Linked DNA regions of Rattus norvegicus. The protein of the gene in region 2 binds, or shares a complex with, the protein of the main gene of each other region. Links are inferred from orthologs where the notes say so. Each region holds a gene or a part of one and is shown on either strand. Other genes may lie near its edges.

Region 1 (4,269 bases), on a different chromosome or scaffold from region 2:
TTCTATCTATGCCCAGTTGTTGGCCATGGCCATACTGTGGTTTCTCTGAGACAGGACCCTTAAATGGGAAGAGTGAACCTTGTCCAGCTAAAGCATCCACTGATACCAATAAGGTGTCCCCAGTCACCTCGCCTGTGCCTCCAGAGGCCACCATGGCAAGCCATAAAGAGCTCTCCCAATTTGCAAGTCCCTTCCTGAATCCAGTTACTCTCAGTTCCCTACCTCACCCACCAACTCCAGGTGGAGCTGGGAGCCTCTGTAGCAGGAAGGTTATAGGGCTTGACTGGGTTTAGCCATAGCGACAGCCCTGCCTGCCGCCCTGCCTCTCCTTCACTTTGTCACACCCAATGGGTAACCAAGCATTACAGAGTGACAGTAGGCACAGTCCCAACCCACTGCTGCTTGGTTACAGTGGAGAGAAGAGCATAGGCAGAAAGGACTCCAGAGAGGCCATGACATCTATGCTTGCCTCCTGGTCTCCACACATCAGCCTCCGACCTTGAGTCTGCCCGTGAGGTTTTTGTTGTCAACACCTAGCCTGAAACCTGATGCAGCATGTTTGTAAAAAAACTGGAAGAAACTAAAGAATGTGTTCACTTAGCCAAGAAAAGGCCCTTCGCTGGCAAGGCCCCTCCAGGTTCTAGCATATGTAAGACAGACTTAGCCATCTTATCCCCACCCCCTCTTCTCCCAGGCCCAGTGCTCAAGGGCACAGGGAATACCAAGATTAGAGGCGGTCTAACTCTGATAGCCCTTCAAAGCCTCAGGGTCAACCCCCACCAGCAGCCCTCCACTGTGTCCCCTCCATGCCCCAGGGCCCAGCTTGCTTGTCAGTGATCCCGATCAGTCACAGCAGAGGCTGTGCTCCTGTTACCTGGCACATGAAGGCTGGGATGACCCTGTGGAAGGTGGAGCCTTTGTAGCCAAAGCCCTTCTCACCAGTGCACAGGGCTCTGAAGTTCTCTGAAGAGAGAGAGAGAGGAGGGGGGAGGAGGGAGGGAGACAGGCGGGTTAAGAGCAGGCCAGCCTTCCCTGCCAATCCCCCAGGTTCGGTGTGTGTGGAAAGACCCTGCCCCTCCTCTGGACTCAACTCCTGATCACATAATTTCCTGCCTTGAGCCAGTAGCAAGTGCTGTGGCTTGAATCCAAGCGCTAAGCTGTGCCAGTCAGGGTAACAGGGTGAGGAGCCCAAAGACTATACCCTGCCCTGTGCTGCCATGCAGAAATGGGGGGGAGCTTACATGGGGCTTCCCCTGGTTATGGGCTGTCTAGCTACTCTTGGTCTGGTTAGCAGAGCTGACAACGAGGTCCAGAGAAGGACAAAAGGCTGCCTTAGGGGTACCTATCAGCTATGCCTAAGTTGAGATACCCACACGTCACAGTCTGTTCTAATTCAACCCCGAAGCCTACCAGCCTTGGCTGGCTCACATCTGGGCCTTACCTGCTGTCTTTGGCACGACATCTGCCTTTAACTACAGGGAAGAAAAAGAACAGAAAAGGACGGTCAGTCGAGAAGCAGGTGCAGGGCAGAGCCCCCTCGAGGTTCACACCCAGAGGCCAGGGCATCAGGACCATTCCTCTCCATGCCCACTGACTCTCCTAGGAACAGCCAAGAAAGCTATCATCCCTGGCAGCTGCTTCCTGAACCCAACCAAGGCTTGCCTGAGACGGCCTCAGTTTCTTATCAGAAGAAACTACTGTCATCCTGGCCCACTTCCGGGACAGAATTGTCAACTGGAGGTCCTCAGCAGGAGTCCCTGGACCAAGAGTATCATCAGGACCAGCTGATGTTCCTCAGTGCAGGGGGAAACTGAGGTCCCCAGAAGGAAGGAGCAGACAGTTGAGGAATGACAGACAGGCCTCATCCAAGCCTGACTCTTGGCTTCTTTTAAGAATCCCTCTTCACCAAATGGGGTTGGGGAGATGCTCCTCATTCTCCAAAAGATGAAACTGAGGCATAATAATAAATATTGGCCACACACACCCCCTTCGCAAATCGGGCAGCCAACACTAACTGGTACCTTTGTTCAAGCCAAAAGGCTCCTAGAGCCTCCTCCTGATATTTTGACTGTTTCCTAATTTTCTCTTCAAGGGTCGAACAGGAGCCATTGTTGAACGTGGACCTCAAAGAGTGGAGAAGCTTGGGCTCCCAATTCAGAACCTTCTCATTCATTCCATGTGCCTCCTCTTAGGTAATCAGGCCTTGGGGGCGGATCCCGAGTGTGCTCAGGCCAACAAATGAGCACCAGGCAACACCTGGACCTCAGACACCCACCTGAGCTCTGGGTCCAACCTTGGACGCAGACGGTTCTAGGAAGCCCAACGTCAGTCCTGGCCGGTCAGTGGGCTGTCACTCAGTACGATCTGACCTTGACCTTTTCCTCCACACTAGCCCTCCCTCTCTCTTCCATATCACCCTCCCCCCCCCCCCCATCCTCCAGGGTTTTGAAATGCCCGGAAACGGACCAAGTTGATGCCGCTTCTTCTGAGAGAGGGAAACTGAGGCCCAAGGTCATCCGGTGTGCCAGGCACAGTACGGGGCCCGGGAAGTCCAGGTTTTCCCTACGGCCAAGTCTCACCTCCAGCACCACGCGGCCGAGCGGCTGTCCGTCGGCGCCCACGTCCAAGTACACGAGCGGGTTTTGGGAGGAAGAGTTCGCGCCTCGGGCTCCGCCGTCGCTGCAGGTACGGGTCGTGGAGAGGAGGAGCGGCGCGGAGCGCGGGCCGGAGAGCAGACCGAGCAGGCGGGGACCGCAGCGCAGAGCTAGCATCGCTGTCACGGGTCGGGCGAGGGCGCGCGGAAGAACTCAGAGCAGACACAACAGAGGTCGTACGACCCAGGAAGCGATACCTAGGCCGCGTGCCATCGCCTTTATTGGTCCTCTGGCTTCGAGACCACGCCCCTACACGCCTCCGTCACGCCCCCTCAGAACTGGTTCTCTAGTGTCCCCTGCTGGTTGCATCTGGCAGCGCAATCAGTTCGTGCTTTGTGCCCCATCCCGTAGCCCCACGCGCGGAACCGGAAGTCATTTGAAAGAGCCTCTAGACCAAGAGAGACACTGATCCTGAGAGTCAGAAAGACGTGGGAGGCTCTGAGGTGGATCAGAAAGGGAGAGATAACAGAAAGAACAGAGAAGTAAAAAAGATACGACACCCACAAGGTGACCGACCTCAGGCCTCCTGCTCCAGGGCTGAATGTCTCGTTTTGCCTCTAGAGATCAGTGCCTTGGCTAGAGGACTGAAAATACAGTTTGCCCAATCAATAGTGCATCTCCCAGGCCTCAGTCCCAGGGTGACCTCTCCTCTCCAGCCCACACTGACAACCCTTGTTTGTCCCTATCACTTCCAGCCAGGCCAGGAAGATACTGGGCTAGATTTACACCCACTAGAACTCACCTGGAATACACCTCCTTACTGACTGCATGCACCTGCAAATAACTTCTTAAGCAACCATTCTGAACGGATGCCGGGAAGTTGACAGTGTGTGATACAAAAGGAAAGGAGCCTGCAGCAGAGCCACAGCCAGGGATTTAAGCCCTTGTGTTCGGGGCACAGCAGCAGCCTGGGAAGCGAATGAATGCCAGCAAGTGGGGGCATGTGAGCCAAACCCGATACTCAGTTAGGAAACTGAGGCTCAGAAAGAGAAGAAAGCTCTGACCAGGGCTAGAAAACCCTGATTGGGCCAGTCCTTCTGCAACCAAGGAAGTTATGAGAAACTTATCTTGCTTTTAACTCATACCTATTCAGGGGATAAATAAACTTGAGAGAGAGAGAGAGAGAGAGAGAGAGAGAGAGAGAGAGAGAGAGAGAGAGAGAGAGAGATTTGTTAACTGTTAAACACTGCTCTGTGGACAACAGTGACGGGCATAGCCTAGACTGCATACTCAGGGTATGGATTCAGAGCATAGGGGGGACTCTCCACTGCAAGATCTCAAAGTCCTGAGAGACTGGAGAAGGGGAGGAGCTGAGAGACTGAGGAGCAGGGGAGCCACAGATGGTACAGTGTTCCCTCCTCTACCTGACTTCCTTCATGTTCTATCTTCCAGCTCGTTAGCGAACACATTTCACTCCCCTTTGTGTGAACCAAAGACAAATTCTGTCTTTACCACAGGCTGGATTCTGGTGTCTGTCTGTCCTTCCTGTCCTGCCCTCAGTGGTCTCTGTATGCAGCTAAGCATATGCCCAGCCCTGAAGACACTGGGCCCCGCTGAGATACATACTCTGCTAGCTCCCCAGCAGCTGATAGACTGGGTCATCTTCAGGGGTTTC
Region 2 (3,500 bases):
AGTCAGTGCTTTTAACCACTGAGCCATCTCTCCAACCTCAGACGTTCCTGGCTGCCCTAGAACTCACTCTGTAGACTAGGAAGGGTGTAAACATGGAAGCTGGGTAGTTTCTTATCCAGACTTTAGGGCCCCAGGGGAGGAAGGAAGCTTCCAACAAAGAACTTTCCAGAAGGTTCCTTTGGGTAGCAGGCTCTCTCACACCTTTGTGTTTTTTTTTTTTTTTTTTTTTTTGGTTCTTTTTTTCGGAGCTGGGGACCGAACCCAGGGCCTTGCGCTTCCTAGGTAAGCGCTCTACCACTGAGCTAAATCCCCAGCCCCTGTATTTTCAGTTGTAATTGAACTGTATAGTTTTGCCTGGACGTATCGGGGACTCTCTGTTGCTTAGAGGCCTTGGCTAAGGGCAGATTGGACTGTAGGCCAAGATCTACTCTTTCTCTTTCCCTCTCTCTCCTTTTAAGGAATTTACTAGCTCAGGTTCTGCCAACACGGAGACCACCAAAGTGAACGGCAGTCTGGAAACCAAGTACAGATGGACCGAGTATGGGCTGACGTTTACTGAGAAGTGGAACACAGACAACACCCTGGGCACTGAGATCACCGTGGAAGACCAGGTAAGGGCTCCCTGCCTGCCCTCCTCTCGTTCCCATTGAAACATCCTGGGTCCTGCCTTGGGCTAACCTGTGCCACCTCTCTCTCATATGCAGCTTGCTCGTGGACTGAAGCTGACCTTTGATTCATCTTTCTCGCCTAACACTGGGTAAGGTTCTTACCCGAGAGGACGTTCTGGGATGTTATGGGCCCTGGAAGTCCATTGCAGCACAGGAGTTTGGTGTTTGGGCTGACGTCTTGTCAAAGTAGCCTCTTAGCTGGGAGGCTGGAGGCTGGAGGGTGGAGGGAATCGTGGGTTCAGGGCGAGCCAGGGCTACGTAGTGAGAGTCCACATCAAAACCAAACCGGGTAGCAACGACAATGAGGCAGCCTTGGTTCCAAGTGCTATCCGTTCTGGTCTGTGGTGGTGTTCTGTCCAGGAACACCATCTGTTAAGGGGCTGTGCTGTAGCAAGTATTCTCAGTTTAGGAAATGTATTCCTCCAGCAAATGGTTTTGTGTGTTCCTGTGCTCATTTGGAGACTGAGGGTGCCTGGACTGGGATGCTATTGCCCCAGGAACTTCCCTTTTACTTTTGACACAGAGTCTCCTGTAGCTCAGGCTTGCCTTGAACTCATTTTGTAGGCAAGGAGGATATTGAACTTGTGGCCCTCCTGCTTCTATCTCTCAAGCACTGGGGTCTTCTGCTCCCATACCCAGTTATGGGGTGCTGAGGATGGAAGCCAGGGCTTATGCAGGCCATTGGTGATGCACTCTACATCTGCACTGAGCTGTGTCTGCAGGGCTAAGGAGTGTCCTTGGTAGTGGAAGACTTAGCAGTGTTTGCTGCTAAGATCCCACAATACCGTTGTGTGCCTGGCTGCAGGCCACGGGCTTTCTGTCCCAGCTGTTCTGTTTCACACCAGGCTGCCAGTAAATAAAAGTGGCCAAGGCTGGGGTTGGGGATTTAGCTCAGTGGTAGAGCGCTTGCCTAGCAAGCGCAAGGCCCTGGGTTTGGTCCCCAGCTCTGAAAAAAAGAAAAAAGAAAAAAAGGAAAAAAAAAAGTGGCCAAGGCTGAAGGGCAGAGGTGGCATTTGGACTCAGGGGCTGACTGGTCACTGTTGTCAGCCTATTTTGTAGGTGTGGAGGGCTCTTCTCCCAGTTTTCTGAGACCCTGCGATCCTGGGAGCTTAACCACAAGGTGGCTCCTGGGGCTGCCAGGTCCTTTGGCCATAAACAGTGTAGGCTTGATTGACACATCAGAGGGCAAAGAGAACAAGCTGGTCTGCCTCCCCTTCTGAGTGCTCTACAGGGCTAGAAGGTTCTAGAATATTCTATACTCCTGAAATTTTTGCTCTTAGAATGGGGAGTCTCCTAAGTCATCAGGGGAAAGTTGTTTTGCCCACTGATGATTGAGTCCAGACTTTTACTAAATTTCAAGGCTTAAGTTTTTAGTTTGGCAGGTTTGTTTGTTTGTTTGTTTGAGGCAGGATTTCTCTGGGTAACAGCCCTGGCTGTCCTGGACTTGCTTTGTAGTCCAGGCTGGTCTCGAACTCAGAAATCTGCCTGGCACTGCCTCCATGGTGCTGGTATTAAAGGTGTGCACCACCATTCCCAACCTTTGGCAGGTTTTAGCTTGGCAGTACATGTATAAAGTACACCTCTACTGTCTTTTACGCCCATGGTTCAGCCGTGAGTTTTTATATTTTGTGATTCTGTGCTCTCTCTTCTCTCTTCTCTCTCTCCCTCTCTCCCTCCCTCCCTCCCTCCTTCCTTCCTTCCCTCCCTCCCTCCCTCCCTCCTTCCTTCCTTCCCTCCCTCCTTCCCTCCCTCCTTCCTTCCTTCCTTCCTTCCTTCCTTCCTTCCTTCCTTCCTTCCTTCCTTCCTTCCTTCCTTCCTTGATTGCCTGCCTATGCTTCTCCAGTGCTGGGATCAAAGGTGTGAGCGACCATTCGGGTACTTGGAACTGAACCTTGGTTCTCTGCAAGAGCAGCGGGTGCTCTCAACCGCTGAGTCATCTCTCCAGCCCCCTTTTCTTTTGAAATAGTTTTACAGTTTTTCTATAGAAAATTGTGATACAAGCAATACGCAGAGCTCCCTTCTATTTCTCCCCCGTCTGCATCTGATGTTGAAGTTTTATATCTGCCATCCCATTATAACACAGCACATAGTATATAATATGTAGCTGTTCACTACGTAATAGTATTTCAATCAAGCGCATATAGGACTCTGGCCCCTTAAGATTACTACGGAGCCGAAAAATTCCTGTTGTTCATTGCCGCCAAAGCACAGTGCATTTATCGAGTCTGTAATAATTGATACAAACGCCGCCCACTCTGTTATCTCCCTATAAAAGCCGAGCATGTGTAATTATGCTCATGTATTTGGGCCGAGTGTGTACCTGGCTTGGGTACTCACTCACCATGTTCTTCGTACCATTAGAGCGTGTTTCTTCTTCTAAAGTATTTACCGTGAGCCCGTGTGCTGTGTTCTGTTGCCTGCCTTGGACATCTGTCTTTTGGGTACACAAGGAGGTCGTGGTTGAGTGGTTAATCATGGCCATCTAGGTTTTTGTAAGTGCACCCTGTGATGTTTGCTTAATGGCCAAATGACCCAACGGTGCAGTTTTCAGGATGTGTCCCCGTCATACAGATCTGTGCCAACAAGTGAACGTTGGTGCCACACTATTAACTGATGCCTTGTTGATACCATCGTTCTGGCCCGGGACCCAGTTCTGGATCCTCCGTTGCATCAAGCGTTCAGGTCTCCTTTGTGGCCTCTCCCTGGGACACACTCTCCATCTTTCTCTGCCTCTCATGACCTGGACATTTTTGAGGAATTGGATTGGTCTGATGTTTCCTCCTGAGCACGTTCAGGTTATATTTTTGGCAGCTGAAGAAGCGGCACCTCGTT
Region 3 (4,217 bases), on a different chromosome or scaffold from region 2:
TTTAATTCCCAGTACCCACATGGCAGCCCACGACCATCTGTAAGTACAGTCCCACGGGATCCAATGCACTCTTCTGGCCTCCTTAAGCACCAGGCACATGCTCCCATGTAGGCCGAACATCCACACATATAAAATCAGTAAATTAATTAAAATGTTTATGGAGCTGGAGAGATGGCTTTATTATGATACTTGTTGCTTTTGCGGAAGAGCCAGGCTGATTCCCAGCACCCACATTATGGTCCACGATCATCTATAACTCCAGTCTCAGGGGATACAATGTCACGTTCAGACCTCTGAGGGCACCAAGCAGGCACACGTACACTTACATACATGCGGGTAAAACACTCATACACATAAAATTAAATGATTTAAACTTTTACTTCTGCAGGGTACCGTGGGTACATGCCTTTTTTTTTTTTTTTTTTTTGGTTCTTTTTTTCGGAGCTGGGGACCGAACCCAGGGCCTTCCTAGGTAAGCGCTCTACCACTGAGCTAAATCCCCAGCCCCGCATCCAGTTCTCTTAACAGCTGAGCCAGCTCTCTCTCCAGCCCCTGGACTTTAAAAGCTCCCCTCCCTCCTAAGATTGAGAGCACCGTTTTCCTACTCTCTATGCAGCTGCTGCTCTGTGGTCTCACACACCATTGACTTCTAAGTCGATTCTGTAGCCAGCCAGGAGCATCCTAAGGATCTCTGGTGTTAGGAAAAAACTGGTTCTGTTCATGCTTGTCAAGCCAGTACTCAGGAGGCGGAGCTTGAGAATCTCGTTTGAAGCCAGACTCTGTTGCATGCACAGTGATACTGTATTTAAAAAACAAACAAGGGGTTGGGGATTTAGCTCAGTGGTAGAGCGCTTGCCTAGGAAGCGCAAGGCCCTGGGTTCGGTCCCCAGCTCCGAAAAAAAAAAAAAACCCAAAAACTAGGAGGCACAGGTAGGTGGGTCTCCGAGTTCAAAGTCAGTCTGCTCTACAAAGAGAGGACAGCCAGGACCACACAGAGAAACCCTGTCTAGAAAAAACAACAACAAAAACAACAACAAGAAAATAAATACATAAAGGAGGGCAGAAAGTGGTCAACAGGAACCACCAATCGCACCCCAGAGAAAGAGGCAATGTGAAAACCGGATCACGTATCCACTTGCCAAGCACTGGAAACCGCAACCTGAAATGTAAATAAAACAAAGGCGAGACAAATACCGGGTAACCGTGGCCTGTCTCCACGGGAACCCGCAGGCTGGGGTTGCTAGCGTTAGCGCTGCGCTCCCTGCTGACACCGGAGTTTAGCCGCTAACCTTACCGAGACCAGAAGGTTCGCACCGCGCAGGCGTCGCAAGAAGCGCCCAACCTTCAACCCCGCGCAGGCGCAAAGGGCAACCGCCCTCCAAACCTGACCGTTAGGGCGGCCGGAGCCCCACTGCGCAGGCGCCGCTCTCGGCACCATGGCGGCCGCGTTGCTGCTGCTTCGCGCGCTCCGCCAGAGCCCGGAGCCCGGGCCCTGGCGGCTGTGGGCCCAGCTCTCAGGCAGGAGCCCCGGCCTCTTCTCCGGGGCCGGCGGTAGGCGGCCGTACGTAGTCCGTGGGACTCCGATTGGCCTGGCTGCGGCTGGAGGCCACACGCCTCAGGTAACCCGCTCGGAGCCCGGCGGCGGCGACGGGTGTGGCCGGTCCGCGCGGACCGGATGTGCACCTGCACCTTCCTCTTCGGCGAGATGCAGGGGGGCTGATGTGGGCTCCCCGGGACCTGAGGCAGCGTCTGCATCGGGTGGTCCTTCTATTCCTAGCGTGTGTGAGAGAGACGCCTTGTACCGTAGCCCCTGGTTTAGAACTGAGTCCTATTCACGTTTTTTTCTTCCTTTTCTGTCTGTGGTTGAAAGTTACTGACTTTTGTTGTTTCTTCATCTGTTTTTTTGTTTTTTTGTTTGTTTGTTTGTTTGTTTGTTTTTTTAGCTGAGTATAGTGAATTTCACTGATGGGATTGGTTGGAACAGTAGCGCTCTCTTGGTCCCTCCCCTTCTTGGGAGGCAGGTCTGGGATGGAAAGGAGGGGGAGATTCTAGATAATATGTTCATGGGACACCTGACTCCTCAAGCAGTGGAGGGCCTCCCTCTTCCTCTCATGCTCTTGCCGGAATAGCCGGCCCCTGCAGGCAGTGTAGACCCTGAGGCCCACCACCTTGTTGCTGTAGTCCGATTCGCTGCACCAGTCCACGAATCTGACAGAATAGTAGTTGAGTGGAATGACAGCCGCAGCATTAAAGATGGAAGAGTGGGTGTCACGGGCAAAGTCTCAGGCTACTGGGTCTCCCGGGATGTCCTTTAGGAGCGCTTCACCGTGACCTTCTTGATGTCATACGGTTGGCAGCTTTCTCCAGGTGGTAGGGCAGACTTTGGGTGAGCTTCCCTGGTCTTTAGCTCTGGGTTATGTCACCCACAGCCTTGGCAATGGCAGTCGATGCAAAGATGATGCTCTCGGCAGCTCTGTCGCCATCATGCAGGTTACCCTGAGAGGCCATGTAGTGGTAATGGCATGGATTGGCGTTATGAGTCCCCTCAGGACATGAAAGTTGACATAGATGGCCTGGGCGTCAGGGCTAAGCAACTGGTGGAACAGGAGGCATTGCTGATGCGTATGAGTGAGTTGTACTTCTCGTAGTTCGCAAACATGGCAGCTTCAGTAGAGCGGCCGAGATGTTGACCTTTTGGCTCCACCTGTCAAGTGGGCCCCGGCTTTCTCCACCGTAGTGAAGATATGAGTGGCCTTCGAAGTGTACTCAGCACCAGTGTGACCCCATTTGATGTTGGTGGGAATGTTGCCCCTAGAAGGTACAGATAGCCCTCCCGATGGTAACAGGGTTCCAGTTCTCAGCCTTAACTGTACCATGAAGCAGAGAGTGTCAAATTGGATTGTCGATCTTAACATTTAAAGGTTGATGGGTCATGGTTGTGAAGGTCTTTAATCCCAGCACTGGGAGCAGAGGCAGGTACATCTCTGTGAGTTCAAGGCCAGCCTAATCTACATATAAAGTTCCATGCCAGGCTAGCCAACGCTACATAGTAAGACCCTGTCTTGTGTGTGTGTTTGGAGGGTAGGGGAGAATATAAAAGGCTAATCCAACTGTGGAGCACATCTATAATACTAATACTTGGAAGGTCAGGATTTCAAAGCCATCCTCAGCAACATAGTAAATTCCGGCCAGCCTGAACCACTTGACGCAGTTACAAATGACAAAACCAAAAACGAAACAAGCTGTCTGTTGGTGGCATATGTTTATAATCTCAGCACTTGAGAGGATGATGCAGGAGGATCACTGAGTTTGAGGCTAGACTATCTCACAAAGACACAAAAGGAAAGGTAACACTCAACAGGAGTTAATGTGTATAGTTGAAGATGACTTTGGACTTTCGATGCTCCTGCATCCACCTCCTAAGCGCTGGGATTACAGGCAAGTGCCACTATACCCAGCTTTAAGCGGGTACTGGGGATCAAACCCGTAGCTTTCTGCATACTAGGCAAGGACTTGGATCCAGATCTGTGTTGTGGTGTGTGGTCTGAGTATTACCTCAGTCTTTCTCTTTTTTTACAGAGCTTGCTATTGCGAATACTGACCCCTAGCTTTGAAGGTGTTAGCGGATTGTTACTGAAACGGCATATAGTTCCAAGTGCAATCAGACTGTGGCAGCTTTCAGGTGTGTATGTATCATTGCATGTTCCATTACTGACGGACACAGATTTTACTGTAGTCCTCTAAGAGCATAGTGGAAGAGGACCATGGTCCTACATGCCTGTAATCCCAGCACTAAAATGGGGCTGCCAGTTGGAGGCCAGACCAGAACTAGCTAGTGAAACCCTGCTGTCCCCCTGCCTCCAAGCCCCCCCCCCCCCCCACCGAGATCACAGTGCTTGTTGTGATTTCAGTAGAGAAGTCTAGGAGCAGAAGGGTGTGCTGTGCGACCCAGGTATGCAGCAGAATCCGCCCTCTCAGTCAGTGTGTGCCCTGTAATCGAAGAGTGGCGGCGGCTCCTTGGCAAGTGACAAGTGACCAGTGACCATTAGCAGAACGACGACACTAGTTTGACGCTGGCTGGAAGACTAGTAACAGCCACTAAGAGCAGTGGTAGAGCGCTTGCCTAGCAAGCGCAAGGCCCTGGGTTCGGTCCCGAGCTCCAAAAAAAGAAAAAACAAAAAAAACAAAAAAACACCCGAGCCTCTGACTCTCTCCAG

Evidence for each region.
Region 1: Vdac1 (region 2) and Ppif share a complex: the UniProt entries of both Homo sapiens proteins name them as parts of the mitochondrial permeability transition pore complex. The link is inferred for Rattus norvegicus from reciprocal best matches to the Homo sapiens genes VDAC1 and PPIF.
Region 3: Vdac1 (region 2) and Spg7 share a complex: the UniProt entries of both Homo sapiens proteins name them as parts of the mitochondrial permeability transition pore complex. The link is inferred for Rattus norvegicus from reciprocal best matches to the Homo sapiens genes VDAC1 and SPG7.

What each region holds. Positions count from the first base shown.
Region 1 is NC_086034.1:1,262,532-1,266,800, reverse strand, and holds the start of Ppif (peptidyl-prolyl cis-trans isomerase F, mitochondrial precursor), read right to left. Parts: upstream 2,801-4,269; 5' UTR 2,772-2,800; coding exon 2,580-2,771; intron 1,473-2,579; coding exon 1,442-1,472; intron 964-1,441; coding exon 875-963; intron 1-874. UniProt on the Homo sapiens protein: PPIase that catalyzes the cis-trans isomerization of proline imidic peptide bonds in oligopeptides and may therefore assist protein folding. Involved in regulation of the mitochondrial permeability transition pore (mPTP).
Region 2 is NC_086028.1:37,046,709-37,050,208, forward strand, and holds part of Vdac1 (voltage-dependent anion-selective channel protein 1), read left to right. Parts: intron 1-458; coding exon 459-611; intron 612-704; coding exon 705-757; intron 758-3,500. UniProt on the Homo sapiens protein: Non-selective voltage-gated ion channel that mediates the transport of anions and cations through the mitochondrion outer membrane and plasma membrane.
Region 3 is NC_086037.1:68,024,202-68,028,418, forward strand, and holds the start of Spg7 (paraplegin), read left to right. Parts: upstream 1-1,417; 5' UTR 1,418-1,436; coding exon 1,437-1,619; intron 1,620-3,579; coding exon 3,580-3,682; intron 3,683-4,217. UniProt on the Homo sapiens protein: Catalytic component of the m-AAA protease, a protease that plays a key role in proteostasis of inner mitochondrial membrane proteins, and which is essential for axonal and neuron development.